3 separate regions of the Mus musculus genome follow, and all the other regions are reported to be linked to region 2. Evidence: microRNA targets listed by miRTarBase, many of them from high-throughput screens and not tested one by one. Region 2 holds a microRNA gene; each other region holds the end of a gene's coding sequence.

Region 1 (10,316 bases), not on the chromosome of region 2:
ACCGCGCCCGCCTCGTCCCTCGCCCTGCCCGGCGACCCGCGACCCACGACCCACGGACCGCAGCATCATCAACACTTCCGAGCGACCTGGCCGCTGCAAGCGGTGCGGCTGTGGTCACAGAGAGTGTTGGCTACTCCGCAGGTTTTATCGATTCCACCCTTGAGGAAATGTTGACTTTGGCATCGTTTCCATTTGTCTTCTGCTTTTTGCCAACCGGCCTGTTAGTTCTTGCAGGTGAGTGGTTATTGGGCAGCATTCGCCTTTTAACTTAGAGGGTGCCAGGTATTTGTCACAGAACAAACAACGGTGTCCCTTCTGGCAGGTGCTCCGTGCAGATAAACCCTCAAATCATTTTTATACTTAATCAAAACTACATATTGTGTGCTCATTGGAAAAGTTTACAAAATAGAAAACAAGAGAAAGCAAATAGAAAAGCCACTGGTACTCAGCTGCAGACCACTGGGGAAAAGCTTTCATTTCCTCCTTCAAAACCTTAGTTTCTTCCATTGATGCTTGATCATCCACACCTGAGTTGAACATCTGCAGTTTGGGCCGTTGTAACTCTGCTCTACCTATATACACCATTTGCTACTGCTTAATGCTGAGGCCTTAAGTTTAACACTCCAATCAGGTATCTCGGTGGGGCGGCCCAATTACATTTGGAAACTAGTAAATTTCCTAGACTACAAGTTATATACAAGAATTCCATTTTTCACACTTGTGTTTGTGTGTGCAGGTGCATCATCACATGTGAAGACATAGGAGGATCTGGGGGGAGTTTTGTTTTTTGTTGTTGGGTTTTTGTTCATTTTGTTTTTCTTCCACCACATGGTTTTTGAAGATTGAAATCACATTGGCAATCTTGAGGGCAAGTAAGTGCCTTTGCCAGCTAGGCTATCTCCCTGACCAAGGTCTGTTGTTTTTAACATAACTGTCTTCCAGGAAGCTCATCTGTTCCCTATTTTTTGCGCTTTCCCCCAGTATTCCTGTAAATGCCAACCTGCCAGGTAAATACTCCATTTTGTATTTTTACACATTCTTTGTATTTAACATCTCTCTGTTGCATTTCATTCTGTAGTTCTCGGATGGTTTCCAACTCGTCCTGTCTGAGAGCTTTCGGGGAAATTGGCACCTGGCAGCTTTGATGTTGCAAACTTCACTGGAGAGGGGAAAGGTTATTATATGTTTCTTTCTTCACTCAGTTCTCCCTCCCAATACCATTAACTGGAACACCAAAAAGTAACCCAGGATTGCTTCCAAGTAGCACTGAGGGCAGCAAGTGTGGGATCAGTGGGGGAGCCTGCCTCCTGGGTGAGAGGGCTTCAGTTCCATACCAGCAGATTTTAGAGAAATGAAAGGCACATGTGGAATTTCAAATGTCTTAGTGGGTATACAAAGGACAAAAACAGGCAAAGTCATCTTAAAATTAACCCACATGCCCCACGTGTTTCTACATGCAATCAATGCATACTGTACTAAGCCTTCAAAATGCAACAGTGTACACACTGAACAGTGGTACCTGTGGTGAGTGGCCCATGCTGTTATGGACAGCAGCCCTTATGAAGGCACCTTTGACAGCCTCCTACCCTTCCAGTGGTGGCTTACCATCTCCCTGCCCTTCTGCCTAATTAGGCTTACTATGGCAAGACTTTTGGCTATTTTATGGATTCTTCTTTCTTCCACGCTTCCCTCTCCCCATACCCCTCCCTTCCAACACCCTATGATGGGAGAGAGAGGAAAAATCCCCAAATAAAGTCAGGAGTAGGAATGGGGAGAAGGGTGGAAGAAAGAAGAACCCACAAAGTAGCCAAAGGTCCATTTTATCTGGGATAAAATGAAAACATATTTCCATAATATTTTGAAGCAAACCAAGAGTCTTACCACACCTAACATTTTTTACCTAATTGGAATGACTTCACATTTCGCCTCATAACTAAAGTCTCAGCATAGTCTGGGTATGTAGCACTTGCCTGTGTGCTGTCCTACCACTCCTAACGCTCCAGGGAAGCCAGTGGTACCGTCTGCTTCAGAAATAACAGTTGCTGCAAACTTTTCACAAACCTGTCCTGCCCAGGGGCTCTGGGGACAATCAGAGGGTACTCGGGGTGGCAGAGGCTTCTTGTCTCAGAAGCTCCGCAGCTGCTGGACAGTGCTTCCTCTTCGAAGATTCATGTGTTAAGTCTACAGGGAATGACCCAAAGCTCCAGCTGTGCTCAGGACGATGCCTTGTCTTTTTGGCCCCAATGCTTGGTTACTAATGGGGAGTAACGGGCTTTTGGTTTTGTTTTTCACAAGACAAGGTTTCGCTGTAAAGCCCTGGGTGTCCTGGAACTCCATCTGTAGACTAGGCTGTCCTCAAACTCAGACTCCCTTGTCTCTACCTTCTGAGTGCTGGGATTAAAGGTGTGTGCCACCACTGCCCGGCTGAGTAACTGCTCTTTTAAAGTGCATTTGCACAAACTGCCCTGTAGTGTTTCTGCTGCACACACATACACACACAAACACTTCTAAGTCCAGGTGAGAGCTTCAACCCGATTGAGACAAGAGCGTGGTGGAATGACTATGGCTCTGGAGACAGCAAGGTGGTGTTCCTCGGCCATTTCTGCAGCCTGTTGGTTCTGTAATGCAGACAAGATGCTTCACCTTTGAGATCTTGACTCGTGGAGGATGGTGTCATAATTACTGACCACCCGAATGCTTCACCTCCACAAGGAAAGCAAATCTAGGCGCACCACAGACCTGCCAAGGTGAGGACTTCCTGTGACACTGAGGGCAGTGGCAGTGAACAAAGGCTTAGACAACATCGCCCACATTCCAAAGCAAGCTGGTCTGCAGTGGGCCTCACCTTCAAGTGAAGCTAAAAGTTTTAAAACTTTGTGGTGCAAACAGTTGTTGGCATTTTAGTCTAGGCTCTGCCCCACAGTTACCTGGCAACAGCCAGGTGTGCCTGACTTACTGTTAAAGGGGATGCTTGCCCCTCCCTCTCTCTTGCTCCCTTACCCTCCCCCCTCTCCATGTGTGCTAATGGCTGGCCTCTACTCTTCCCCCCCCCCCCCGCCTTTCTCTGTCTCTATCACCCCCTCAACTCTCCTCCCCATGCCCTAAACTCTATTCCAAACTCTATCCGTCATGTGGCTGGTGCCTCAGGGGGAAGGGATGCCTCAGCATGGGCCTGCAGAGGCACCTCTCCCCCCATACCCTACTGTACCTCCACCAAACATATCCCTGGTATCTATTTATAAAACACAACAATGGTGCCGACATCCAGGATTTAGAAACTCAAAGACAGTTCTCACCCCTCTGGTGAGAATCTTCCAGGAAGGCCCCCAGCCCTCTCTAAGATGTATAGCCGTCTCTACTTGAAACACATACCGGTTGCTAGATGATCCAGATAACAGAGGTGACAACACCCAACAAGTGTTGCCAGTGTGGTACCAACAGCTGGCCATTGTAAGTGCTGAGGGAGCGTGGCAGACTCAAACCTTTGCCTTCACAGAAACTCTTTACTTGATTGAGCTAAAAGTCACACTCCCAAAGACCCGTGTCTGTGTATACAGCACAGTTCTCTCCATTTCTGCCCCCTAAGTTCCCATGATAACTTCGCTCTTAATTCTGGTTCCTTAGCCCCACCTCCCTGGGTTGACCTGAAGCCTGAGGCACACAGCAGACTAGCTTCCTTTGGTTCCTGAGGGATGTTCCCTGAAACCTTGATACTTACAAGCCTCTGTCCAGGAAGTCATCTGCTGACAGACACATCCAAGTTTATATTGATCACAACGTCAGGAACCCAGCTGGAGTTCAAGAAATATTTGTGGAATAAAACATGTACCTGTCATATTAAAATGTGTGAGCTATAAAACTCAATACTGTGGTGCACTGCCTGGGAGACTGGCTTCAGGTGACAATTCTACCTCGTGGAAAGGAGCTGCTCCTCCAAGTAGGAAATTCTAATGACTTCTAGTCACCTTTCTAGGACCACGTGGGATCTGAAGCAGTGAAATGTGACTCGGGATTCTGGTTTCTTCCAAGAGCTGTCTGGCTTCTCATGGTGCAAGGGCTGTCCTTGCCACAGCTCCACAGCCACCTGTAGCCATGTGGGTGTTATAGCATCTGTGGATGGACAAGGGGGTCCCCAAAAGGCCAGCAGTAAGCACAGAAGGGCAAGGTGAAAACAAGTGGCTTTATTGCCTGAATCAGGACAAACTTAACTGTCTGAGACACATCAACATCCAAGCAACTTTTTACATGAGAAGGTCGACTCAACAGAGGAGCTGACTCACACTGCCAGTAACAGGAAAACAAAACAAACCCACCCACGTCAATGTTTTACTTATCAACGTTGAGTTGATGATGTCGTATTAGGTTACCACAGGGCCACATGGCACTGAAACTGTGGGACAAGTATGAGAGACTACTGGGCTGTCAGGAAGGCACACTCTGCTGCACATGGCTACGGTTAGGACAATCTCTGATCATGAGGTATGACAAATGTGCTCTCCATTTTTAAATTGATGACTGAATTTGTGTTTGAGAAGACAGTGAATTATTTCTAGAGCATAAGTCTGAATGGCTACAGACTAGTGGGAAAAAAAATCCCAGGAGGCCCTCTGGAGTCCTCCTAGTGTCAAGGCTGGAGCTTGTGGACACACTATGATCCAAGATGAAAAGCCAAGCCATCCAAGCACAGCTGAGAGAAGCAGTGCACATCCTTGGAGTGAGCCACAAGTTACCCAGGAAAACATGCCACCCAGAAGCAAGGAACCAAAGAGAGCGCATCGGGACGAGGCAGCAGATGACAGGGAGCGTCCCACTGGCAAAGAAAGGCCTGGAACGTACCAACAGTGCTAAGACCCAGCTACCGACCACACCTATCCATGCAACACCTAGCCTCCTCCTCTTCAGCACTGTCAAGACAAAGAGATGCTAGAGCTGGGACTGTAGCTCAGAGGAAGAGGAGAGCTTGCCTCGTACATGAGAGGCTCGAGCTTCTATACTCAGTAGAGCAAATACATACACACACACACACACATACACACACACACACACACACACACACACACACTCTTAGCAGAAGGTACCTCATAGTCTTTCCTAGTCGTCTCATACATTTTGAATCTTGATGTCCTTTTGGTTTTGTTTGTGATGAGAAAGCATCTAACTAGGCCCTTGCTGGCTTTGAGCCTGAGGTCTTGCCTCATGCTGCTCATGGCTGGGATTACAGGTGTGCACCACCGCGCCTAGCTCATACATGAATCTCTTCTGTAAGATTCATGTATTTCGTGGAAAGAATCGGGGAGAGGGCAGCAAACCCGACAGAACAAAGTAAGCAAGCACAGCGGAGAGGCTAAAAGTCACTAAGGAAAGAGGAGGAAGCAGCAATTCTAGTGAACAAAACACACACACAATTCTTTCTCAGGTCTGGCGTTTGCTGTCTCTTTCTTCCCAGTGTTTATTTCCAAGAGATGATGTTTCTGAAAGAGAAAAACCAGCCATCATTATGGTTTACACAGAATCACTATGGCCCTTAACTTCAGTTCTAAGTACAGGCAAGCCAGATAAACTAAATTACACACATTCAGATTATACGTGGCAGAGAAAAATTAAACAGCATCATAACAGTGCTTAATTTTTATCGATACTGGCATTAATCAGAGTGAATTATATTCTCTACAAATATAAAATGCAGCTATTGTAGCTCTTTCCAAATATAAAAACAAGTTTCATTTTAACTTATCTAGTCATCCCTTTAAGAACAATGTTAGCACCTCTATTTACAAAATTTATAATGCAGCAACACCTTTGTTATGTACATATGGTTTTAGACAGGGTCTTATTAGACCAAGCTATCTTAACTCCACATCTCACACGCCTCAAATCCCCAAGACAGCACTGCAGGCTGACTAATACCTGGCTGATAACTACTAACGAAAACCACACAACACAGTAGTTATAAAAGCCTTAACATTTGGAACACATATATCTGGAAGTAGATTAAGTAAGGTGAGAATAAATATCCAGTTTTATTTTCCTCCCAAATGAGAAGAGAATGCCTGAGTACCTATGTTATCTCCTCATTCCATGCCCTGCAGGTCCAGACTAACCGAGAAAGAGGCTGTAGCCCAGGGCATACCCAGAAGCTGGGACAGCTCCTCCCCTGTCAGCTGTAAGCTCCAGCCTGCAAGAGGGGGTGAGGTGTGGGGTGCACACCAAGAGCCTGCATGGACACCGTGAGCCTCTGCTTCCTCATCAGACAATAAGGTCATTCTACTACATGTGGGGGTGGGGGCAGGGAGCTACAAATGTGTGTAGTATATGGATAGGGAGCAAGGTGCACTCAGCTCTGCCCACAGGTGTGTGCCATTCTTCCTCAGATTGTTCCCACCTCCCGTTTTACTATGCAACATGAGTCTCTCAATGGCCTGGAACTGACGAGCAAGTTAGGCCAGCAGTTGCTGAGCCACAGTCTCCACTTCCCAGTGCTGGGATTGTGACAGCACACACCTTGCCCTGCACTTCTGCTTCAAGGATGCTGTGAGGACTGTGCAATGTGAGGCCCAGCCCCGTACACAGTGCTGTGTGGGGGAAACTAGCGTGTGTTATGTTTTAAATTCAAACATTTACCGTTCTAGGCTTTCTAATTTTCTAGAAACAATTGAAAATGGCAGCCTTATCTTAAATTATATGAGCACTCTCAGTATCTCTCTGAGGAGAGTTCACTACACAGATGAATAGACCAAAGTACAAATGATTAATTAGCTGGGCTAATCCCAGAAGCCTGTGTCATTGCAGGCTCTTCAGTCGGTCTAGTTAAAATCTTCATTAAATTCAAGATCTTAAGCTCAAGCACACAAAACAGAAATCAAGTATAGAGATGCTAAGGCACGACAATGGGAAGGAACTGTTGCTCAGGGTGTCAGCTTAGGTGCTAGCTTCCTTAGGGACAAACTCAGCAGAGGTGCGCACTCAGTCAGCACTGCTGTTCCAGAGGAGCGACAGCCCAGGGAATCCCAGGAGCTGCTGCAGGAGCATGGAAGAGCCAGCTCTGGGCTGACACTGCACCAACCCCACCCCTCCAGCACACACACAGGGGTGAATAAGTGGGGTAATCTCATTTTGTCCACAAGTTCCAGTTGGCTGCTGGCCATGACTACTTTCTGATGGCCCCTGTTCTTGCGGGGATCCTGACAGTAAGACACGGTTGGGAACTACTGGGATGGGCCCAGCACACTCTCTCTGAACAGTGGCACAGCACAGCCTGCTCCAGTGTCACAGGTGACAGAGTGCCTACCTTCCTCGATCTTCTATCCTTGCCCAGACTCAGGACTAAAGCTACTGCAGCAGACAGAGTCAGTGAGGCCTGAGAAGACGTCAAGTCTGGACACAGTGTGAGGCTAAGCTTCACCTCATGACCATCTTTACAAGTCTCTTCACATACTGACGATGTGAGCAATTTCAAATCAAACAGTAAGAAACGGCTTCACATAAGCACCTGGAGTCGGGTGCATCACAGAAGGGGAAACGGGAAACTTACTTAGCTTCTCAGCAGCTTTTTCATCTCTGTGAATTTACTTTGGTTGGTTGGATTGTTTAAGAGGAAGAGGAGAATCTGTTCGTGTTTCTCAATCTGTGGATGCAAAGGAGACAGTATGATTTCTCTCTCAATGTGAGGCAGCGTGTGGCTTCATGTAGGAGCTGCACCTACCTGTTTCTGTAACTCTGTGCAACAGCAGTCTCTGCTGTGTGGTATCTCTAGAAGCAAAAACAAACAAAACAGGCCTAGGTCATGGCAGTGAGGGAGCCCGCGTGCACCTGTGTGTCGGGGTCTAAGTGTCAACTCCCCAGGACATCACCCACCCAGTCATGTGCTGTGTGTGTCCTGGACTCTCAGACCAGCACTCCATCTAAAGATTAGGTCTTCTATGATGTCTTAGGTCTTCTAAGACTTCTCCTGTTGCTCAGATCAAAGAGAACCCGAAGAAAGGCACAGGCACAGTTGCAACCATTCCAAAGCTCTCAGTCTCGACTCCCACAGCACCAGTGTCCCTGACCTTGGGTCAGGTCAGGCTGAATTGCCACAGGAGTGCAGAGGAGGAGGAGAGGGTGGGGACTGAAGCCGTGAGGAGAGAGACAATCAAAACGACCTCTGCTGTGTATTACGCTTAAGAAAGTACCTTTAGTGGAAGCACTTTTCCTTTTAGAAGTGAGGTTTTCTGCCAGGCCACACATCACCAGATTCTCAGCTATATTGATCATTCCGTTCTCAGAACATTTTTCAACTGACACTGCGTGGACATTCTTTGAAATGGCTTTCACAGAGAGAACCACACTCTGGTTCAGCATGGCATTTCTCAGCAGCTCCATCACTAACTGCGAACAGCTTCCATTCAGCTCCATCGGCCCTGGAAGAGTCACACCCTGAGCTTTGTTCACAGGTGTCCTGTTTTTAAGATTTATTTTCTTTATTTACTTTTGTGTGTATGAGTGTACTGCCTGCACGTATATATGTGTATACCACCTGCCCACAGAAGTCAGAAGGTGGTGTTGGCCTCCCTGGAACTGGAGTTACATACAGGTGGTTGCCAGTCACTATGTGGTACTGGATGTTAACCCAGGTCCTGCAAGAACCACCAGTGCTCTTAACCACAAGCTGGCTCTCAGCCCCATGTCTCTTGTAGAAGATATTTAGGACGCTGTCTAAGGAGACTGGCGTGGCTGGCACCATGCACTACCGAGGCTTACGGCACAGAACAGACACGCTCATGCCTATGGGCTCTGGTGGGAAAGGACAGTGCAGAGGCCAAGCATGCTACAGAGTCACTGTCATCATCTCTGAGAAAAGCAGGACAGGGCCACATCAAGCATTCTCATTTATCTGTTCTTTGCATATTCCAACTGGACGGGTAAGCAGTGGACGGGTAGGCAGTGGACAGGTAGGCAGTGAGCAGGCCGGCAGTGGACATGTAGGCAGTGGACAGGTAAGCACAAGCTGCTTTAGAAGAAGAGTGAGGAGGCTGGAATGAGGCCAGGAAACATCCCCTGGTTCCTATAGGGAGCTGTGACAGAGCAGGCGGTCTTGGGCTCACACCCTGCCACTTGCCATGAGAGCTGCACAAGAGGAGAAAGACAGTCTCCAAACCCTGATATTCTGAAGATAAGCCCCCAAATACAGAGACAGATGGAATGCAGTTTTCACAAGAATTAAAGTACAAAGGAGACAAAATTTCTCTGAAAACTCTTGCTAAGATATTTAGAGGAAGGCAAGCTAAGGATAATTTAGCTACAGCCCCACTTGACTACAAATAATTTAGGATAATTTAGCTACATGGCCCCACATGACTGTTCATAACCCCCACTTGAAGTGTTACACGTGGCAGCCTCCTTCCTTTACCTGCGAGTACTATGCATGCATTGTGAACGTGAAAAGGAAGCCCCATACAATGACCAGAGTCCCCGAGGGGTCTCGGGAATATGACCCACTGTTACTCTTGACAGTGCTTCTCTGTAATCTGCACTGTCGCTTGCTCTGAATAAAGCTCCCTTTGAGACTTCTGCAGGTCTATGTATGCCATGACTTTCTAGTTCCGTGAAGAGGCCAAGAACCTGGAAACACCCAGCCCAAACCCAGAACACTGGTAACAGTCTGATATAAACCATTTAATTCAGACTTAGAGCTATGAAATATAAAGATAAAAAATTCCACAGACACAAATCTAGAAAGCAACAGAACTGTGTACCCTCTAGTGAGCATCTAATGATCTGGAAGGGCAGCTCCAGGTGGCTGGCTGGGATGGGCTGCACTCTGGAAAGAGGCAGGGTTTCGATGTTTCCATAATCTGCGTAGAGAACTTTCACATCAGATTCCGACGTTTCCAGAACAATGGCCCGGTACCAGAAGTCATCATCTGAAAACAAGGGATCCTTAGCACAGGTTACAGTCCGAGCCTTCCCTTCCCTAAGATGGTTCTATCTACTACACTAAAGACTAACTGGGTTTCCAGTTAACAGTCTGCAGTTTTCTACATTCCTTCCAAAGCCCTCTGTGGAGGCACGCAGAGTCCTGATTTTGTTTTTTAACTACAAAAACAAGGGAGCTGAGGGAAGACCATGCATCTCTGCAAGGCTGCAAGGCTGCAAGGCAGATGTACAGATGGAAGCAGCTTACAGCCAAGGGAGCTCGTGCAAAGCTGGCGGTGAGGCAGACAGGCAGGATCACACGCACGCACGCACGCACGCACGCCTCCAAGACCCCTGAGGGTGAGGGGCAGAGGGCAGGACAAAGGAGGCAGTTACTCTCTACTTTTACACGGCACAGCTAG
Region 2 (10,316 bases):
ATCTTAGTACACAGGCCTGCTTCCTACCCTTATCTGGCCTTTGTGTTCTTTCTGCCTCTTTTTCCTCAGTGTTCCTCAAGCCTCAGAGGGAATGGCCTGGATGTGTTGTTCAGGGCTATTAAATAGCTATCAGCGACTCTCCTGCAGTAGCATCCTGCCATTGCTCCAGGGCTTTCATGGTGAAGGGAGAAGTCCATAAGGGAAGTGACAGCTACATTGGCTCTCCTGCTTTCTCCTTTAGTCATAGGGCCTTGATCTATTGTCAGTGCTGGCCTGACATCCAGATTCAAGCTATCCTCTTGCCTCAGTTTCCAGAGCTGCTAGGACTACAGGTGTGTATCCTCGCCTCCAGAAAGTTTCCTGAATAGAACCTAGGGGAAGTCCCAGCCAGACTCACCGAACCAGTCCGTGACCCTGCCACAGCGATTGTGTGCAAGGAAGTGGGGGATTTCCTATTGTCCTGGAAGGCAGATGCCATTATTCACAGTGGATTTACAGGAGAGAGATTGTCTAAGTTGTGAAGAAATATTTGAAGAAATAATCTTCCCAGCTCATTTGGGAGGAGTGTTGTTAACCAAAAGAACAAACCCTGGGAGGGCACAGCCATTTTGATGTAGCAGTGGCTGTAGGGTGGCTTTGACACCTCTGTAGGGGTTTGCTTTAGCAAACTGCACTATAGAGTCTGAGCTAAAACTGCATTGCGTCAGTGGTGACATCCATGCTAAGGAAGTGGGAGTCATCTTAACAAACCCTTAAAGGGAGGTGTTCAGGTCCTAGAAGGGTGCTGGGGGGAAACAGGACAGGGTGGGGAGTGGTTCCAGGCTGTAGATTCAGACTGCTGGGCACGGATCCAGCAGCTGATGTGTGTAGGAGTGACCGGATGCTGCCTGTTCTTACCAATTCAGTTACAGAAAAGGTGTGTGTGTGTGTGAGGGGGCAGCAAGAGGGAGACACGGTCTTTCAGAGGTAACATGGCTCCTTCAAATCCCACGGTGAAGATGAGGCTCGCTAATGTCAGTGGAGTCTGGGAAATAGAGTGAATGGAGAGATATGTGGTCATAGGAGGGTCCATGTGTACTGCCTTTGCCATGAGTGTGTGTGTGTGTGTGATGTGTGCATGTTGTGTGTGTGTGGTGCGTGTATATATGTGGTGTGTATATGTGTGTGGTGTGTGTGGTATGTGTGTGGAGTGTGTATGTGTGTGAGTGTGTGTGTGTATGTGTGGTATGTGAGTATGTAGTGTGTGTGTGATGTGTGTATGTGTGGTATGTTTGTGGTATGTGTGGTGTGTGTGTGTGTATATGGTGTGTGTTTGAGTGTGTGTATATGTGTGGTATGTGTATGGTGTGGTATGTGTGGGTGGTGTGGTGTGTATGGTATGTATGTGTGTGGTATGTATGTGTGTGTGTGTGGGGGGTATGTGTATGGGGGGTGTGCATGTGTGGTGTGTATGTGTGAGTGTGTGTGTGTGTAGTTCTTTCATGACCATTCAGGGTTTCTGGGATCCATTTTAGGTAGTTTAAAAATGAGTAGAAATATCATAAGGAACATATTTATGCTCATGCACGCACACACGCACGCGCATACACACACACACACACACACACACACACACACACACACACTTCCCTGTGGGAAGCCAGCTGTTTGCTTTCCTCTTCTGAATGAGTGGAGTCCGTGGTCACACACCCCTGCAGGGATGACACTTCTGAGAATTAGGACAGAGAGAAACAGCAGGACAAAGAGCTGGGCTTGAACCGTGATCCAGGTGGAGACTGAGAAATCAGAGACTCCTGAAAACTCACGTCCTAGCAGGAAACAGATGGCATCCAGGTCTTGGTGACAAGAGAGTCTGTGAAATTGGCTGGTGGATTTGGGTGGGGAGGAGGCCATGCTGGGCAGAGGAAGCTATGGCAGAGCATACCCAGGCTCCTTAAAGTGAGAAGAATTCAAGTACCTTAGCCCCAGAACTTAACCCGTGGGTCTGGTGTGGCCGAGTGTTGGCCTTCTAGTTCATGAACTCATAGTCTCAGAGCACACAGCTTCTCCTGGTTAGTCCTTTACCGTTTACGGGTCTATCCGGCTCCTGAGACTGGCAGTTTGGGTGTTTGCCAATGTGGCTGTTTCCTAAGGTGCCTCTATTCTAGGGCTCACCAAATCGTCTGCTGGACAGACACCCCTTCACCAGCCCCTGGCCTGGCACAGACTCAGCTGACCATAGCCACCAAGCTGTCCTTCCTTTGCAGCTTCTGTAGTTTTCTCAGACGATTTCGTCAGCCAGCTTGGAAGTGGTACCTGGAATGCAGGTTCATATTTTCCTTAATGCACAATATAAGTGAGGTTAAAGACTTTAAGTGGGTCTAGGAGCCACTGGAGGTGCAGGCACCATCTAACTAAGAATGTCTCATCAGCTCTAAAACCTTGCTGGGCCTCTGTAAACACGTCAGGCGGAACTCCGAGCTAATGACAAGCAAAGTCAAGGAAGAAACACGATGCCTGACAGCATCCATCCACCTGCATCTAGAACAGCAACTCCTTTTTTCCCTGTCTTAATAATTCACGAAAGAGGAAAAGGTGCGGTCACTCTAGAGGCAGATGCAGTGGCCTTTATCAGAGCATCCGTTTGTCTTCCTGCTGTGACTCAGGTTGGTGGTAGCATCGAAACTCCTCAGTTTCATAGAGCATCATCTCGTGTTTAGGTCATCACGCCAGCTGCTGTGACCTTTCCCATTAACAAAATGTACGCATGGCAGTAAACGCAAGTTAAATTTCAAATTATTTGCGCAGTTGATCCACAGTGATCACCGATACGTGGGTGTATTCTTACAAAGTTGACATTTTAGGTAAAAATTGATTATGTAGGACTAATTTCATATTCTTCAGCCTAAAACACATACAGTGTGATTATGTTTTTCCTTCACAAACAGCAATAGCATGCACACTGTACCATTATATTAAATGTATCATGAATAAAAATACCTACGCTAAATGCCTGGCAAGCTAACTTGTAGAGCAGTCAAGTCCATGAAAGTCATCGTGCTGTGTAGAGAGTGGGTTAATTCTCTGAGGGGACTGAGATATGGGTTGGCGTGGACTAAGTTGAATTTCTCCCAAAGCCCCAGGTCCCGCAGGGCAGGGCCTATGGATGGGGCTTTCATTGCTTTATTGGCTTAGTGAGTGGTAAGGGCTTAATGAGTCCTAGAGAGATGTGTCTTTACAGGAAGGACAGTCTCTACGTGGGTGTGTCCTGAAGAAAGGACCCGAAAGGACACAGCAAGAAACTGACCCTTCACACAGCAGGAGAAACCCTGCTGGATCGTGACCCTGGGTGACAGCCCGCAGAGCTTCAAGAAAGCAAACATCTGTGGTTTAAACCCATAGTGTTTTGTAATACAGCTAGAGCTGACTAAGGCGTGAGACGGAAAGATGTCGCCGCCGTGGTAACGCCTGGGATTTGTGAATCCATGGTTTCCAGATGAGTAACTGCAAAGGTGTTGTGGCTGAGAGGCCGGAATGAGCTTCCTGTTAGAACACAGAGCAAAGGCTGCTGGGTTTGGTGGTCCAGCGGTGATGGTCACTTTCCTGCTGCTATGAGAAAACACCTGACCGACTAAGGCAACTTCGGCCTGGAAGGGTTTCTCCTGCTCAGGGTCTGAGGTGCAGACTGTGACAGTGGGGAAGCCATGGAGCAGGCACACCAGGTCGCTGCTCACAGTGCACCTGGCGTCAGGATGCAGAGGGGACTGAAGTCTGGCTCTCAGCTCACCCTCTCCTTTTCACACAGCCTGCGACCCTGGCTCCCATTGGGGTGGACCTTCCCTGTTCATGCAAAGCATTCAGGAAACACATTATAGACACAGCCAGGGATGTGTTTTGTGGTGATTCTAAATCCTGTCTGGCTGACAGTGCAGTTACCCGTCACCACACAGCGCCCATGTTGACCGATGAGTGCAAAGCCAGACCTTGGCCAAGCTCACAAGCTACTTTAGGGATGTGATTTGGCTTCTGCTGTTGTCCTAATAACTCTGTTTGTTGTATAGAATCTACCACAAAACGGCACCAGCCTCCAGTGTTTGTATTCAGACAGAGAGCAGGAGAACTAGGCCACTGGGAATGGAGACTCTGGGGTGTCCCAGATCCATCTGTCCAGCCTAGCGTTCAGCACAGGTGTATAGTATACGCAACAGAGAGGTAGTGAAAGGTTTTAAACAACCATGGAACACTGGCCGAAGGCATTATTCTCAGTGGATTTAGAGAGAGAGTGCCATGTGGTACAGTTCAAGCATGGCCTTGAAGAGGACGTATTTGGAATGGTGAGGCAGCCCAGGTGACTGCATGCGGTCTCTTCAGCAGCATTTGCTCTGACTGCGATGATGTGAACGACCTAAGATGGGTCTCAGATTTACCTGGTTCCCTGCGGAGAAGAGGCAAAGAACTCGGCCTCAAGTACTCACGTGTGTGTGCATGCATTTGTATGTACGTGTGTGCATGTGTGTGCATGCATGCACGCATGCATGTGTGGGGTGTGTGTGTGTGTGTGTGTGTGTGTGTGTGCTTGCGTCTATTCCCAGTCACAGTAATCTACATTGTCCTCAAGATTAAACATTGGTGTGGTCTGGAGAAATAGGTTAAGTGGAAACTGTGCTTGCCACTCAAGCATGCAGGCTTTAGTGCAGATCCCCTGAACTTGTCCATGCCATGATAACCCCCCCCTATAATTCTAGTTCCCAGAAAGAAAAGACAGAGTCCTTGGAGCAAGCTGGATAGCCCTACTGATTAGCCCTGTGGTCAATGGAGAGACCCTGCCTTGAAGAATAAGGTAAAGAGAGGTCAAAGGAGACTCCCACACCAGCACTGGCCTCCACACACGTGTGCTCCCATGTGTACACACACCTGCACACCTGTGTGCATGCACACACAAATGAACATGTTTATATATACACAGAGACTCGGATAGTATGCACACTCGGATAGTAAGCAACAGTACGCGTCAGAAAGAGCTTGGGGTGGAGGGATGCGGACACTCACTCTCTTAAACACTTAGGACTCTGTCAGCTAAAAATGGTGTGCCGGGATGAGGAGTTAAAGTCATACTTGCAAATAAGTACACAATGAATCCTCTTTAATAAAATGGTATATTTGTCACGAAGCACAGAGCCCAAGTTGGAATAAATTGTAAAGTTGTCCCAGGCTACGGTTGCCTGCCTCAGAAGGAAATCTCAGTGAGGGAGCGCTCAGCCCAGACTGGCCTTGGACATGTCTGTGGGGGATTGTCTTAATTCTTGACTGGCACAACAACTGTATACGGGACACCACTCCTCGGACCTTCAAGCCTGTGTTCAGTGCTGTCTTTTTGAAGTCTGAGCCTATTACCTTTCTCTGACAGGTTCCTGACTGAATAGGTAGCGTGGTTTGCAGTAGGCCCTTGTAGAGGCTACAGTGTCAGTGCATGAGTACTCATATGTGCATGTTAGTGTGTGGACAGGCAAGCGTACGTGTGTGCACACATGCATTTGTGCATGTGGAGGTTAGAGGTCAACCTTGGGTATTATTCCTCAGGCTCTGTCCACTGCCTTTGAGATGGGGTCTTCGCTGGTCTAGAGCTTGCTGATTTAGCAAGGCTGGTCAGTCAGCCCCCAGGGATCTGTCCCCTCTCTCTCCAGTGCTTGGATCACATGTATGTCTTTTAATGTGGGTTCCAGGGACAGAGCTCAGGGCCTCAATGAGCACTTGCTGACTGGGCTCCCTGCCCAGCCTCCCCAAACACACTCAGCTTACCTCACCTCCACCGCCCCTGCCACCTCCCCCTTGCAGCTGGAGTTCCATTGGCTTACTATGTCAGAAGGCAGCGCTTATCCACGAGAAACGCCCTCCGAGGACACCCCAGGCACGTGCGAACAGCGTCCTCTCATCTTCCCTTTCGAGGTGAAGGCTATTAATTACACTGAGTGACAAAGACTCTCCGTGTTGTATGATTGACACAAGGATGAATCTTTGTTACTGATTGCAAATAATAGGACCGCAGTCGGTAGGTTATGTAGAGTCAGGTGGGGAGCCTGTGCTCACAACCAGGCCGTGGGCAGGCAGTATCCTCTTCCGTCTCTGCCTGAGCTAGCGGCTGCGGGAGACAGAGCAGGCATTATCTTGCCACATTCCTTCCCTAGAAAACAGCCTCTGTCCTACTTTGCTTGTTCGCTCCTGGCACGGGGACAACCTGTCTCTTTACATTAGTTTAGATCTGTAAAGAAACAGTCATTTAGAAGGAAAATAGTCGGAAAATTCGGGCAACGATCCATCTTTAAAGTCGTAGCTGAATGATTGCTTTCTTATTGTGTGACTCCAGGGCTGCAAAAATCCCCCGTGTCTGTACACATGTTTCTCTTTTCCTATCTTGGATTTGGGTTTTCCTTTTGCTTAAAACACAGGTATGTGCCAGAATGAGAACTGTTAAAAAGGGAAGGTTTTCAAGGACTCCTAAAAATAGGACCTGCTGCCAACCACACAGCCCCCCAGTATGTAAATGGTCAAAAGTGGAGCAATGGAAAGCATATGTTACCGACATTCCCCTTAGAAAAAACAAGAGTCTGAGCTTGGCCTCCCGGCCCTGGCACCCTTGAACCTGTGGTTTCCATTTAAGCCTTATCCCAAGTCTGCAGCAATCATTCTCGGCATAGCTGACTTCTATCTTTTAATCGAGGCTGTAAAAAGCTACCAGGAATAGTTTTATTCTCCAAATGGGAACGAGTTATTTCATCACATCAGGCTGGGATTTGACACAAACCTTTCAAATAATTATCAAGGCTCAAAGGGGATCAAACACACGCAGCGCCCAGGCCTAGGTGGCTGCCTTGTAGGCCCAGGGCAAAGGAGTGGGCTGGGAAGGTAGTCCAGGGCGGATGAAGTAAGAAGCTATTTTTTGTTTGCCTTCGGTGGCAATGAGGAGTCACCCCGTCTTCTTCCTGGAAATAGAGCTCAGAGTGTACATACATTCATTAAAGTCAAAGTGCTCAACGGTAGTGAGGTTTTGCTAGGAACTCCTTCTGTGGCTATCCTAGGATGGACTGTGTCCTCTAGTCTTACAATTTCGAAAAGGCATCCTATGAAAAACCCACAAGAGAGTTAGCCTCTCCAATGCTTCCTTTTGTTTTCTGAAGAAAAGCTTTTCTGACTAGCAGGACTTATATTACTCATCTTGTTGACAAAGGTCCACAAACCTGCCTAGAGAGTGCATCCTCGGAGTGGAGCGCTCCTGTGGGGCTGAAGTCCTGTCCCTTGTCCCCTGGAGACCTCTCCTCCTTCCAGCAGGCTGTGGAACAGAGCTGGTCCCCCAGAGAGATGTCTAATCTTTCAGCTGTGGAGCTATCTTGCTTTCCCAGTTCTGGTTAAATTTTGTCTTCCGTATCTTGGTATTTCCATGATAGGCCATGGAAAAAGAAACTTGGAGAATGTTTCCCCTTTGCTGTTAAAAGTTGTGACCTTTGCTCACATTTGCCAGAGAAAGTGCTTATAGCACCAATTAACATGAATTATTAACTCCCGGATTAATAATTGATTAGCAAGCTAAAGGCCCGGGGCACCTGCCACATCACACTATCGAGAGAGGAACCTACGAAACAATTTAGATACAATTAGAACAGTTCAGGCAGGGCTTGGCTTAAGTAATGACATTTTGGCTTTTTAAAGGATTGCTTATTTCTCCTCTACTGTCATGTGGCCGGAGAGTCAAAAGTCACAAATAATTCATAGACTGACTCATGTGGATGTTGCCTTTAAAATTTTCCTTTTACAAGTATCTCTGTACCTCTTTCACTGTATTAACCTCTGTCTGAAAGGGCTCATATGGATTCTGCTTCATGATTATCACTGGAACTAGTGTGTGTATGCACATGTGTGTGTCTGGCGTGGTGTGTGTGCACATGTGTATGGTATGTGCATGTTCATATGTGTGTGTGCAGCAGTGGTGAATCTCAGCTATTCCTCATGAACCTTGTAGCTGGTTTTATAAAGACAGAGTCCATCATTGGCCGTCTCTGCCTTCCCAGTACTGGGATACAAGCATGTGTACCCCACCGCACCCAGGGTTTTGACATGGGTTCTGAGCATGGAATGCAGTCGCTCATGCTTGCTGGGCGAGGACTTTACTGACCAAGCCTCCAGAACCAAGTCTACAAAGGCATTCTTTTAATGTGTCTTAATAACTTCAGAGGCCCCAGTGTATACTTTGCTGGACGGACCCAAGGACCATGGACGGAGCTGACTAAACTGCAGGCATTTCTTCACGGTTCTGGAGGCCAGAATCAGATTTGGTTACTTTTGGTCTGTGAGGGAGGGGTCAGCTATGGACCTCTGCCCATGGGTGATCTGCTCCTGGCCTCTCCTTCAGGCTCTCTTCAACCTTTTAAAAAGACCATTTTAAACATTTGTATTAATTGTTTCGGAATCTTATACAATGTATCTTGGTCATAGTCACTCCCCTCTCTCAGCTCCTCCCAGACCCACCCTTAGTTTCCCCCAGTTTCCAGTCAGCTCCCGACCCACAGCAGTATAGGACTTGTCAGAGGCTGTGGCTGAGGGTGGCAGTACCAGGGCGAACCTGGTGGGGAGGGTAGATGCTGAATTCCCCCATCACATGCCTGCCTCACTCATAGGACCCAGAAGCACCAAATGCCTGTCACTGCCAAACATCCACTGCAGCATTCCAAACACAGCTCTGTAGGGAGTTTGATTGTAGCCTCTGTGTGTGTGTGTGTGTGTGTGTGTGTGTGTGTGTGTGTGTGTGCATGCCTGCCGGTGCATGTACACATGTGCACATGAGTCTAAGGTCAGGATTTCAGCAGCATTGGTTCCATTGAGGGATAGGAGGAGGAACATGTTCCAGGCTTCACCCTTGGCTTCTGGAGCTGCTGCCAGTCTCACAGAGGGTTTGGCCCACAGTATAAGCCACTCCATTGCGTATGGTCCTTGGGTACATCCAACCAAGTACAAGCAGAGTCCTCTGAAGTTTTTATCATTTCCTGACAGACGTACCCTCCCTGTGACGTAAAGGCTGAGGCAGGTGAGCCTCTCCAGTCCCCTTTCTGTTTGTGGTGGAGGTAAGTCTCAAGGCTACAACCTTTGTGAGTTGTCCTTATGGCACCAAAGCCAAGAGGGACTGGTGAAGCCCAGCAGCCCCACCCAGGGACGAAGGTCATTGAGGAGCCATTTGTTACAGCAGGGACTTTCTGAGAAGAGGAATTAAACCACCTAATCCCATTTCCTCTGATGACAAGTAATGATCACGGGGCCCCAACTTCTGGAAAGTGTGATCCCTCAGCATGTTCCCACAGAGATAAACAAAGTTAAGGAAGAGGTTATAAATGGAGCCTGAGCCCGGAGGCCATGACTACGTGACTCAGGTTCTGCCCTTCTCTCTAAGCGGGTCCCCAGCCCTCCCTGATTCTGCCTCAGCAGCTCTGGAAGGCAGATGGTGGCAAAGCAAGGGTTTCTTCCCCTTTGTCCCTGAAGTGTTGTAGGAAGCTGTGATTAATGGATGCCAAAAAAAAAAAAAGTTTACAAAAAGTGCACTCCTGGGTAATGGCATTGCTTGGTGGCAGAATGTGTGCCTAGTGTGACTGAGGCCCTGGGTCTGAATCTTAGCATCAAACAGAAAAAGATGAAAAAAAAAAAAAAAGATCATTCTTGGGGGTTGACACCTGATTGCTATTTCCTTAGAAGAAAGGTTTTGTTTTTATTTCTGACATCTTTTATTGATGTCTGCTGATGACATAGCCTATGGAGTTTGGCCTACAGGTAGCTCAGTTTTATGTCTCACCTTGGCCTGTATTTAGGGAGAGTCATTCTCTGTAAAATGTCAGAGGAGTTTGTTTCCATTTATAAAGGCCCCTGAGCATCTCCTGTTGCCTCCTTCCCCGTTCTGGTGAATGTTGCTGCTTAAGACTCAGGAGTTAGAGCTCAGAACCAGACACACCCTCACAAGAGGTATTCTAGGTATTGTATAGTAGACAGTTGTGAGGTCCCTGGGTTGGGTCAGAGAGGAATGAGGTCAGAGGGCACACATTTGAGAGAGGTGGGAACCACTATCCCCAGTAGACTTATAGGGTTCAGGGGTAATAAGGTAAAATAAGACAAACTCCTTCACATCTCAAGTACTGAGGAAGCTGAAGTCACAATGAGTAAGGAGGGACACTGCCAAGGTTAAGGCCAGGCAGACTGGAGTTGGGGGACTATGAAGCCATCTGCCAAGCTCACTGCTTGGGCTCCTCAGTGTGGCTGATGATACAGAGATTCCTGGAAACCTGGCCCCTAAGGATGTATCT
Region 3 (10,316 bases), not on the chromosome of region 2:
TTAGGAGATTCAAGAGTAAAATGAGAAGGAAAAGGTTATGTTAGGTAGACACAGAAAACCATAACAAGACATTTATGAAAACTGATGAAGTTCATGATTATGAACTCAGTGAAGACACTCTTCTCATGTTGTACATAGTTTGCATTTCTTGTTTCTAAATCTAGAAGCTTTACATTAATTTTTAATTTATAAACATATATTTGGAGCATTTATTTATAACTTCATATTTTATTTTAAAAATAGGAAAATTTAAGTAATTCCAAATAAAATAAAAATATCTCTTTTCTTTCTTCCTGCCAATGAGCTGATTTTCTTTCTCTCTCCATTGCAGGTGGTATTCCAGCACCTATTTACTTTGGTGCTTTGATAGACAGAACCTGTTTACACTGGGGAACTCTAAAATGTGGTGAGCCAGGGGCATGCAGGATGTATGATATAAATAGCTTCAGGTAAAGATAACTTTTGAGACCTAATCTTGTAGTGTATAAAATATCTCTATTCATATTTAGCATGTTCTTGAGTGATTTTTCAGAATGGGCATGGATGATGGATGGTCCAATTTTCTTATTTATATATTTTAATATTTTCTATTATTTCAAAAGTACTACACACACACACACACACACGAGTGAAATCAGGGTCTCTGAATACAGGCTCTAGAGTAGCAGAGGAGATCTACATCTTGAGGTGAACTAACATGGCAGAACACCAGAGATTTAAAAAAATGACAGCAAGATACAGAGACATGGGACAATGATGCTGTAAGAGGGAACAAATCTCTCAGCTGCTACCAACTAATACCTATGGACAGAAAGAAGGGACTCCTCCCTTATGTAGCGATTGGAATGACAGAGTCCTGACATATTTGCGCAGCATGGTATCTGACATTCTACTTCTTGGATACTTCAGAGCTCTCTCCTGCTTGCAGCCTGACTAGATGAGAAACCTCAAATATTTGTAGCACCTTTTCAGTTAAAAACAATCATGCTGAGTTCTGTAGCCAGAAGGGACCTGTTGTCTACATTTGACTGCCAGTTTGATTTCCAGAAACCTGTAACCCCCTACTTCACTTAGTGGTTAGTTGCCTCATGAGCACAATAATGACTCAGTAGAGTGATTTTTGGAATATTTTATAATTTGGAATAAATATGCATATGTCAAATATGTCTATTACCCCAAACATAAGTATGGAAACTTTAAGGTATATTTTATCCAATTTACAAAGAAAATGTGCTTATAGCTGTACACAAATAATTATACAAGTTATTCTAAGGAGTGTCAAAGGGAAAATTAGCTAATCTATTTCTGGAAGCTTATGAAGTCTTTATGCTTTAACTAAACCAGATCAGCAAATGAAAAGAATGTGAGGCTAAAGAGATGACGCAGGTGTTAAGAGCACGTATTGCTCCTGAGTAGGGCATAAATTTATTTCCCATGACCCAAATTAGGGAAATCAGAATTTTACTCCATCTTCCTTTACTCCAAGTTCACAGATATCCAGGACTCATTAATTAATTACCTACACTGTGACCCAACACATTCACATAGATAAAAATAATAATATTATAACGTAAATTGACCACTATATATCCAAAACTTAGCATGAAAATTAACAAATTGAATTTACTAATATGTAAAAAGTGACCAACATGACTAATTTTAGACATCCAAGGATTTCAATAGCAAAATTGCCTATTGTTTTAACACAGTATACAAATGCTGAAAAGAAAACTTGAAAAGTGACTCTGCAATATTTTATGCATGTGTGTGATCAAAATTTAAGCAAATAAAACAGGAGCATTCCCTTAACCTGACATAGGATTTTATTCAGTCAGTATATAGGAGAACAGGCAATAATGACAGAGGCAGCATGGTGGTGGAGTGGGAGGAGGCTGGCCACTCCCAGGAAGCCTCAAGTTGTAGAAGGTCTGAGCATGGTGCTCACATTCATGGTAGAAATTCATTGTCAGCTAAAACTTTCTGAAAATATTCTTGTAGACACACTGAGAGATGAATTTCTATAATGTTCTTAAATCCAGTCAAGTTGACAACAATGCCAGCCATTACCCAAAAAAAGAAAATACATTTAAAATTCTATGATAGAAATGTTTTCAGGCTGGAGAGATGGCTCAGGAGTTGAAAGCACTGGCTGCTCTTTCAGAAGTCATGAGTTCAATTCCCAGCAACCACATTGTGGCTCACAACCAACCATAATGGTATCTGATGCCCTCTTCTGGTGTGTCTGAACACAGTGACAGTGTACTCATATACATAAAATAAATAAAATCTTAAGCAGCAACAGGAACTACATACATGTAAAAATAAAAGAAAGAATTAAAAAGGAAATGTTTTCAACATGTCAACTAATAACTCAGCAAAGTATATGTATACTTTATATAAAGTATATGGGAAAATATATCATATAAAGAATATGGGAAAATAATCCCCTAATATTTCTCTTTGAAGAATAAATGATGATCTGTAAGAATATACAAAATTGACTTTCCCTTAACACATTGAGATGTAATACAGATTAGTTCTTTTCAATAGGCGCATTTACCTGGGGTTGCCTGCTGCTCTAAGAGGAGCAAGCTTTCTCCCTGCACTCTTCATCCTAATCCTTATGAGGAAATTCCAATTCCCTGGGGACATCGACTCTTCAGACACAGATCCTGCAGAAATGAAGCTCACTGCGAAGGAAAGCAAGTGCACAAATGTGCACAGAAGTCCTACGATGCAGAATGATGGAGAACGGAAAACTAAGCTGTGATGAGGTTTCTACTGGCCAGTGCAAGGCCAGAACCAGAACGCACATGTCACTAGTTTTGAATCATGAGAAGTACAATCGGAACTCTTATCTTATTCTTAAGGCCTTCAAAATTACTTTACTCATGATAAAAAATATTTACTGATAGCATTTCCAGAAGGTTGGTGTAGCACTTAAGATTTTCCCAGGGAAAACTTCTGTAGCAAACCCCCACCCTTAACATTAAAGCTGCCTTCATTTTCAAAAAGTATGTTCTCTTTTAACTCAAGGGAAATGGATGTTTCCCACATATCTTCAAATAAGCTTGAAACTTTTCTATTGCAGAAAGACTATTTAAATGTTTTTCATTTATATTTTGATGCTGGAGGTATTTAGAGCTCAAAATAGGCAACTTTGTTAAGCCACACTGAAATAATTTGTTTTATCCTCTGTGTGTGAAAGATCTCTACATCTGTTGTTATGTACTTAGGAGTGCTAACTCTCTCTGCTTTACTCTAGTCAAGACTTCCAAGGTTAGACTCTCCACAGTGGCCATCTCCTGTTTTCAGTCCCTTCTTTCATTACTCCTGTCACACAGTTGGTCATTTCTTTTGCATCATTGAAAACTTTAATCAGGTTGTTAAAAATCATGTAGCAAAAATGATTGGAACTTTTTTCCCTAGCAATTCACAGCTGGTCATGAAACTCTTCCTTAAAATCAAGAATGGGAGAAAACTAGTCCTTTTAAAGGCTCCTTGTCGAGATGGGCTGTATCTCGGTGGATATGTGATTGCCTAATACATGTGAGGCCCTGAGTTCAACCACAAGGTAGAGTAAACTGATAAAGTAATAAAAATCACTTGTCTAGATGTAGTATCAGATATTCTGAGAAGACTAATTCTCATATTCATAGAACTTTGACGGCTCAGTGTTCATTCTATTAACGAGCCATAGAGCACATGACTATTAACATTAATAATAACCGTAGAGTAAAAGCTTTCAAGAGGGACCAGCTAGAAGGTTCAATGGAAAGAACTGTTTGCCCCTCAGCCTGACAAGGTTGTTGTGATCCCTGGGATCAACATGGCAGGAGAAAAGAACAAACTCTTGCAAGTTGCCCTATGCCTTTTTATTTTAATTGTGCATGCCCCACCAAAAATCAATTAATAAATGAAAAAATTTGAAAGTTGTAATACTGACTTTTGCTATAAAACTGGAATTCATAAACTTGAAAGTACACATTAGAAAACTAGTTGTGGTTGTTTGAATGAGAAATATCCCTCTTACGCACAGACATTTGGACATGTGGTTTCTAGTAATAACTCTGCTTAGGGAAGATTGGACACGCATCTTTAATATGTAGGAGGGTTCAAAGCTTCACCCTACTTCCAGTATAGTTTCTGCTTTGTGTTTTGGGTAATGATGTGAAATCTCAGCTTTCTGCTTCAGTCACAATGCCTGGTGCTTTCTGTCATACCTCCTTGCCATGAGGGACTTCAGTCCCTCTGGATTCATAAGTCAAAATAAATGCCTATTCATATGTGTTATTTGTGGTATTTTATTGCAGCAGTGAAAAGTAACTGATACAGAAATCATCTTATTTTGTGTTTGATAAAACACAGATTTTTTTTAAAGGAAAAACAAGCTTTTCTATTGTTTCAGAACTATGGCTCAAGATATATACATAGACGTATACAGAGGGAAAGGTGTTGGGGGTTGCCAGGGGACGAGTATCTCTTTCAAGGGCTTATTGTCATGGACCTAAATTCCCCCTATAGGCCCCATATTTTTTTAATGCTTCTACCACCTTTCAATAACACTAAACACTAAACTGCACATTTGCTACAAATGTGTAGGGGTCTAGGTCCAGCTCCTGTATGTTCCCTGCAGGCAACTTGTTACATGCAGCTTTCACTATCCCACCCAAGCTCCTGGGATAGGCCTAAACTCTGGAAACAGGCTATACCCAGATTCCCTTGAATACAGGGATAAAAGACACAGACACACAGTTGTTCATTTTCAACTTGCCTTTTGCCACAATTGCTGGGTGCTACTATCTACTGTCTGAAAAAGTGTGCCCTTATCAATATTCTTAGCTCCATACCTTCCCACTTGCCCTCAATTTTAGTTGTTCAGTTACATCTAATCCCAGCAAAATATTTCCTACCTCCTGCCTATAGGAGCAGCCACAGGCCTCCACTTTGCCTGAGATCTTAAATGGCTGTTTGGCTTTTCTCTCTCTGAAGCATGGTGAACTCACCTCTCCTTGCATCCCTCTCTTACCCACAGAGACCCAGAACTCTCACCTATCCCTTTTGCCCAGCAATTGGCCCATGACTTCTTTATTGACAAGTCAAGAACCAGTTTTTTAAGAAGCAGGACCTTAGCATCAGAACCACCCCTAGAGTAACCTAGGTGGCCCATGTTATTTGACTCTGTGGGGCTTCTTGTAGAGTGCTTAACTGCTCCTCACTTCTATTCCCTATTCTTCCACAAGATTCCTTTGGCTCCATCTGATGTTTGTCTGTGTGTCTCTGCATCTGCATCCATATGCTGCTAGATAAAGCCTCTCCGGTGACAGATATGCATAGCAGAGGATCATTAACAGTGTCAGGAATTGGCTCTTTCACATGGAATGGGTCTCTCGTTGAGCAAATCACTGGTAGGTTGGTCTCTCTGTATCTATTCCATCTTTATGTCTGCACATTTATAGGCAAGACAAATTTTGGGTTGAGGGTTTTGAGAATGGATTGATGTCCCCTCCCCCGCCCTCCTCTGGAAATCATGCCTGGTTACAGGAGGTAGCCATTACAGCCTCTATATTCACCTCTGGTAGGAGGATTCCAAGCTAGATTCATGCTGTAGACTCTCCATATCCTCTCCCATCCCAGGCTTCTAGCTAGTCACCAGAGATGCTCACCCCCATTTCCATTCTCAATCCCAGCCACTCTCCTCCCCATACCTGATGGCCTTCCCCATTCCCTTCTTCACCTCCCCTGCTACCCAAGTTCCATCTCTCTCTCTCTACATCTCATTACTATTTAGCTCTCCCTTCTGAGTAAGATTCATATATCCTCCCTTGGGACCTCCATAGTACACAGTTTCTTTGGGTCTGTGGATTGTAACAGGTTGTATTGTATTTGATAGCTAAGGCCCACTTATAAGTAAGTGCATACCATATGTGTGTTTCTAGCTTTGGATTACTCTGATCAGGATGAAATTCTACCCATTTGCCTGCAAAATTCATGATGCCTTTGTTTTTAATTGCTGCATGGTAAACCATTTGTATAGATGTACTACATTTTCTTTACCATTTCTTCAGTTGAAGGACATCTAGATTGTTTCCAGATTCTGGTTTTCATGCATAAAGCTGCTATGAACACAGTTGAGCAAGTGCTCCTGTGGTATAATGGAATATTTTTGGGGTATATGCCCAAAAGTAGTATAACTGGGTCATGAAGTAGAGATATTCCCATTTTTCTGAGAAAATGCCAAATTGATTTCCACACTGTACGAGTTTGCACTCCCACCAGCAATGGGAGTGCATTTCCACGTTTTGTATCCTCACCAGCATGTGCTTTCACTTAAAATTTTGATCTTAGTTAGTCTTATGTGTATAAGTGCCGCAGACCTTCTGGGTCCCTGTGTCTGCGTGGAACGGGGTCTCTCGATGCGGGTGGGCAAAGCGTGGATGAGCGACAAACAGACACACACACAGGAGAGTTCATGTGGAATCTGAGTGTAATTTTACAACTCGAACATCAGACTTTTTATGCAGAGGACAATAAGGAAGTTGGGTGACATATTGCAAGGTACAATTGAGGTAATCGGAATCTTACATAAAACAGAGGAATGCAAACACAAAAGGTCTAACGGGAACCACCCAGGATAGAATACATTGATAACAGCTGGGATCAACAAGGGCTCCACCTAAAATTCACTAATCTTAGAAGCCAGGGTCAAGGGCTTCGCGTCCTTGCCATAGTTCCTATTTTAGTCTCTTGTATAGTCCACCTTCCCCTTAGGCCATTGTAAATACGTGTGTATGGGTGTAACTCTGCTATAGTATCTATTCTGGTTTCTCCTTTGGTCTGAAACTTCCTTCTTCCTAAGTGATGGTAAATTCCTGTGTTAAGGGAGTGACTTAGCTTTTACAATCTTGCTGAATTCTAAACCCTTGATCTTGGTCAAGGATGCCCTTGGACTGTTGGAACACTGGTGGAAGGCTTTAGCAATGTCAGAGCATTTAGAATAGGAAAATACTGAAAGAGAGCACATGGATCCATACTCTAGACTAGTGTGGTAATGGAACTCGGGAATGAAAAATTAATGTATGGGTAGAGAACACTAGACTCCAGGAGGAGAGCTTCCTTGAAACTCTTTTGCCTCATGAGTGACTTTTAAGCCTTTCGGCTTGTCCAGTTGACTCGACCGGAGAGCGTAGCATATAAGAAGGACTATCAGGGTCTTTTTTAAAAAATTTTCCTGGTGAGTAAGGATACTGAACATTTCTTTACATGCTTCTTGGCCATCCAAGATTCTTCTGTTGAGAATTCTCTGTTTAGTTCTGTATGCCATTTTAAAAATTGGGTTATTTGGATTGTTGAATTCTAATTTCTTGAGTTCTTTACAAATTTTTTATACTAGCCCTCTGTTGTATGTAGCATTGGTAAAGATCATTTCCCAACTTGTAGGCTCCTATTTTGTCCTATTGATAGTGTCTTTTGCCTTATAGAAGCTTTGGGGTTTCGTGACGTTCCATTAATCAATTATTGGTCTTAAAGCCTAGGCTGTTAGTATTCTGTTCAGGAAGTTTTCTCTTGTACCAATGAGTTCAAGTCTATTCCCCACCATATAATCTATTAGATTTAGTATATCCAGTTTTATGTTGGAGTTTTTGGTCCACTTTGACACAAGATTTCTGCAGGGTGACAGATATGGATTTCCTTGCTTTCTTCTACATGCTTACATCCAGATGGACTACCACCATATAAGATGCTTTCTTCTTTCCATTGTTTGGTTTTACCTTCTTTTCAGAAATCAAGTGTTCATAGATGTTTGGGTTTATTTCTATGTCTTTGATTCAATTCCATTGTTCAACCTGTCTGTTACTATACCAAAACCATGTAGTTACTTATTGCTATTGCAGAGATGTTTAAATAGTTTATTAGATCTTGATTTAGCTTTGGTAAGTGGTATCTCTCTAGAAAACTATCCATTTCATTAAGATTTTCCAGTACCATTGCATACACTAGCAAGCCTTTGTTGCTATATGCTATATATACCATGATATAGCTGTCTCTTGTGAGACTAGGCCGGGGCCTAGCAAACACAGAAGTGGATGCTCACAGTCAACTATTGGATGGATCACAGGGCCCCCAATGGAGGAGCTAGAGAAAGTATCCAAGGAGCTAAAGAGATCTGCAACCCTATCGGTGGAACAACATTATGAACTAGCCAGTACCCCAGAGCTCTTGACTCTAGCTGCATATGTATCAAAAGATGGCCTAGTTGGCCATCACTGGAAAGAGAGGCCCATTGGTCAGGCAAACTTTATATGCCCCAGTACAGGGGAACGCCAGGGCCAAAAAATGGGAATGGGGAGGGAGGGGAGTGGGGGGGGCACTTTTGGGATAGCATTGGAAATGTAATTGAGGAAAATATGTAATTAAAAAAAAAAAAGAAAGAAACTTGGGGGAAAAAAAAAGATTTTCCGGTTGGGGGGGTACATGATTTTGAAGTAAGACCTAATGATTATTTGAATTTCCTAGCTGTCTGTTGTTATGGCTCCCTTTTCCCTTCTGATTTTGTTTATTTGGACACTGTTTCTTCTACATTTTGGTAGTTTGGCTAAGGGTTTGTCTATCACGTTGATTTTATCAAAGCACCAGCTCTTCATTTGAATGATTACTTCCATCATTTTCTTTGTTTCTAACTGATCCATTTCAGTCTTGAGTTTTGATTATTTCCTGCCTTCTACTCCTCTTCTGTGTTTTTGCTTCTTTTCTTCTGGAGCTTTCATTGGTACATTTAAATTGTTGGTATGAGAACATCCTAATATCTTTATGGATATTTACTTAGTACTATGAGCTTTCCTTTAGCACTGCTTTCATTGTGTTCCATAAATTTGGGTATGTTGTGCCTTCATTGTCATTGAATTCTCGAAAGTCTTTAATTTCAGTTTTTTTTCTGTGACCCAGAGATCATTGAGTAGAGAGAACATTTTCAGTTTCCATGAGTGTGTAGGCTTTCTAGAGTTTCTGTTGTTGAAGTCCAGCTTTAAACTTTGGAGGGTGTTTTCTTTAGTTTGTTTGTTTTGTTTTTGTATTTGTTATTTTTTTATTGTGATACTTTTAATGGCTGCCTATATTTCTTTATGGGTTCTTGACCTATCTAAATAGTTTGTCTGATCTTGATTTAAATTTTGCAAGTGGTATTTGTCTAGAAGATCATCAGTTTCATTAAGACTTTTCCATTTTATGGAGTACAGGTGCCAGGGGCCATCCCCACTGGGGTCTTCTTTCTTGTTGGTTCTTCTTGAGGTAGAAGAGGGGGAAGAATATAGTGGAAGATAAGACTTGTCTTACAAGGTATTTAGGGTTGCTGTAAAATAACAAAAAGTTTCCTTATCTAAGTTTCTTTGCTACATAGCTGATCTGCCTTCTCTGTTCCTCTGAGGCCAGAAACTGCAGTAGATTAAGTAAAACAGCAGGAGATTAAGTAAAGGATCGATTGATAGAATGGTTTCCATTTTGTCCAGGTGTCTCTTGCTTGTCTGTCTAAAGTAAAGTTTGGAGCAATAAACTTCTATTGAACCAGGAAAAGAGACTAATTCTTGCAGAAGAAAAAACTTTTACATAATCAAATATGCATAAACTCACATAACTTCAAATACAGATTCACTTAAGCACATTTATACATTTCCACTCAATTGATTAGGCCCAACTTCAATGCCTTCTCACAATTACATACTTACACACCACATGCATAATTCTCACAGTTACATACTTACATGTACACATCCATACTTACAAATGCATATAGAGCAAAAGTCCAAGTGCCAGTGCAGAAAGAACTCACTCATTCTGGATGAAAAATGAGCTCCAATCTTTATTGCATAGAGGAAGAAAAAACTTCTACCCTTTTTATGCTGAATGAATTAACCCAAGCTTGTAAGAAAAAAATCTTTGTTCCATTTAATAAGATTAATCCTGATTTGTTATTAAGAAAGGACCCGCTCTGTCCTGTGGTAAGGAGAAGCCTGCCTGCTCCTTCTTCTCTCTGCAGTTCTTTGTTTTTTTTTTTGTTTTTTTTTGTTTTTTTGGTTTGTTTGATTTTTTTCTGCATTCAGCACATTGCTTTCTTAGTTTTTTGTTACCCATAATTTCTAAGTTATTCTATTCTGCATTCTCCTTCTAATCTTGCTGTCTCCTCCTGCTCTGGTGTCACAGTGATGCTCTTACTCTCAATGCCTTTTCTTCCAATGCTATGCCAATACTTCTAAGGCTTTTTTTTTTTTAGTTCAGTTCTGTCTAAAAGTTTCTGCCTAAAAAAGTTCGCATCAGCTCAG

What was found. Region 2 holds the annotated microRNA mmu-miR-802-5p (UCAGUAACAAAGAUUCAUCCUU, at 5,983-6,004, opposite strand). A microRNA usually pairs through its seed, bases 2 to 8, with sites in the 3' UTR of a target mRNA and lowers its output. Matches are read on the target gene's strand: a 7mer-m8 pairs with bases 2 to 8, a 7mer-A1 pairs with bases 2 to 7 and ends in A, and an 8mer does both.
Region 1: the mRNA of Tdrd1 is a reported target of mmu-miR-802-5p. Seed matches in the 3' UTR shown: 7mer-m8 at 4,286-4,292.
Region 3: the mRNA of Slco1a4 is a reported target of mmu-miR-802-5p. Seed matches in the 3' UTR shown: 7mer-A1 at 2,906-2,912.

Annotation. Positions count from the first base shown.
Region 1 is chr19:56,863,858-56,874,173 of GRCm38, reverse strand. It overlaps Tdrd1 (tudor domain containing 1), which reads right to left. Exons shown (of 26, transcript NM_001002238.2): 22 at 9,735-9,902; 23 at 8,172-8,399; 24 at 7,703-7,749; 25 at 7,532-7,624; 26 at 4,162-5,471. The coding sequence ends at 7,532. Among named protein-coding and RNA genes, the nearest start is that of Vwa2, 5.4 kb to the left of the region's middle.
Region 2 is chr16:93,365,425-93,375,740 of GRCm38, reverse strand. It overlaps Mir802 (microRNA 802), which reads right to left and starts at 6,021; the gene lies at 5,925-6,021.
Region 3 is chr6:141,799,415-141,809,730 of GRCm38, reverse strand. It overlaps Slco1a4 (solute carrier organic anion transporter family, member 1a4), which reads left to right. Exons shown (of 16, transcript NM_001355577.1): 15 at 332-449; 16 at 2,551-4,291. The coding sequence ends at 2,770. Among named protein-coding and RNA genes, the nearest start is that of Gm5724, 26 kb to the right of the region's middle.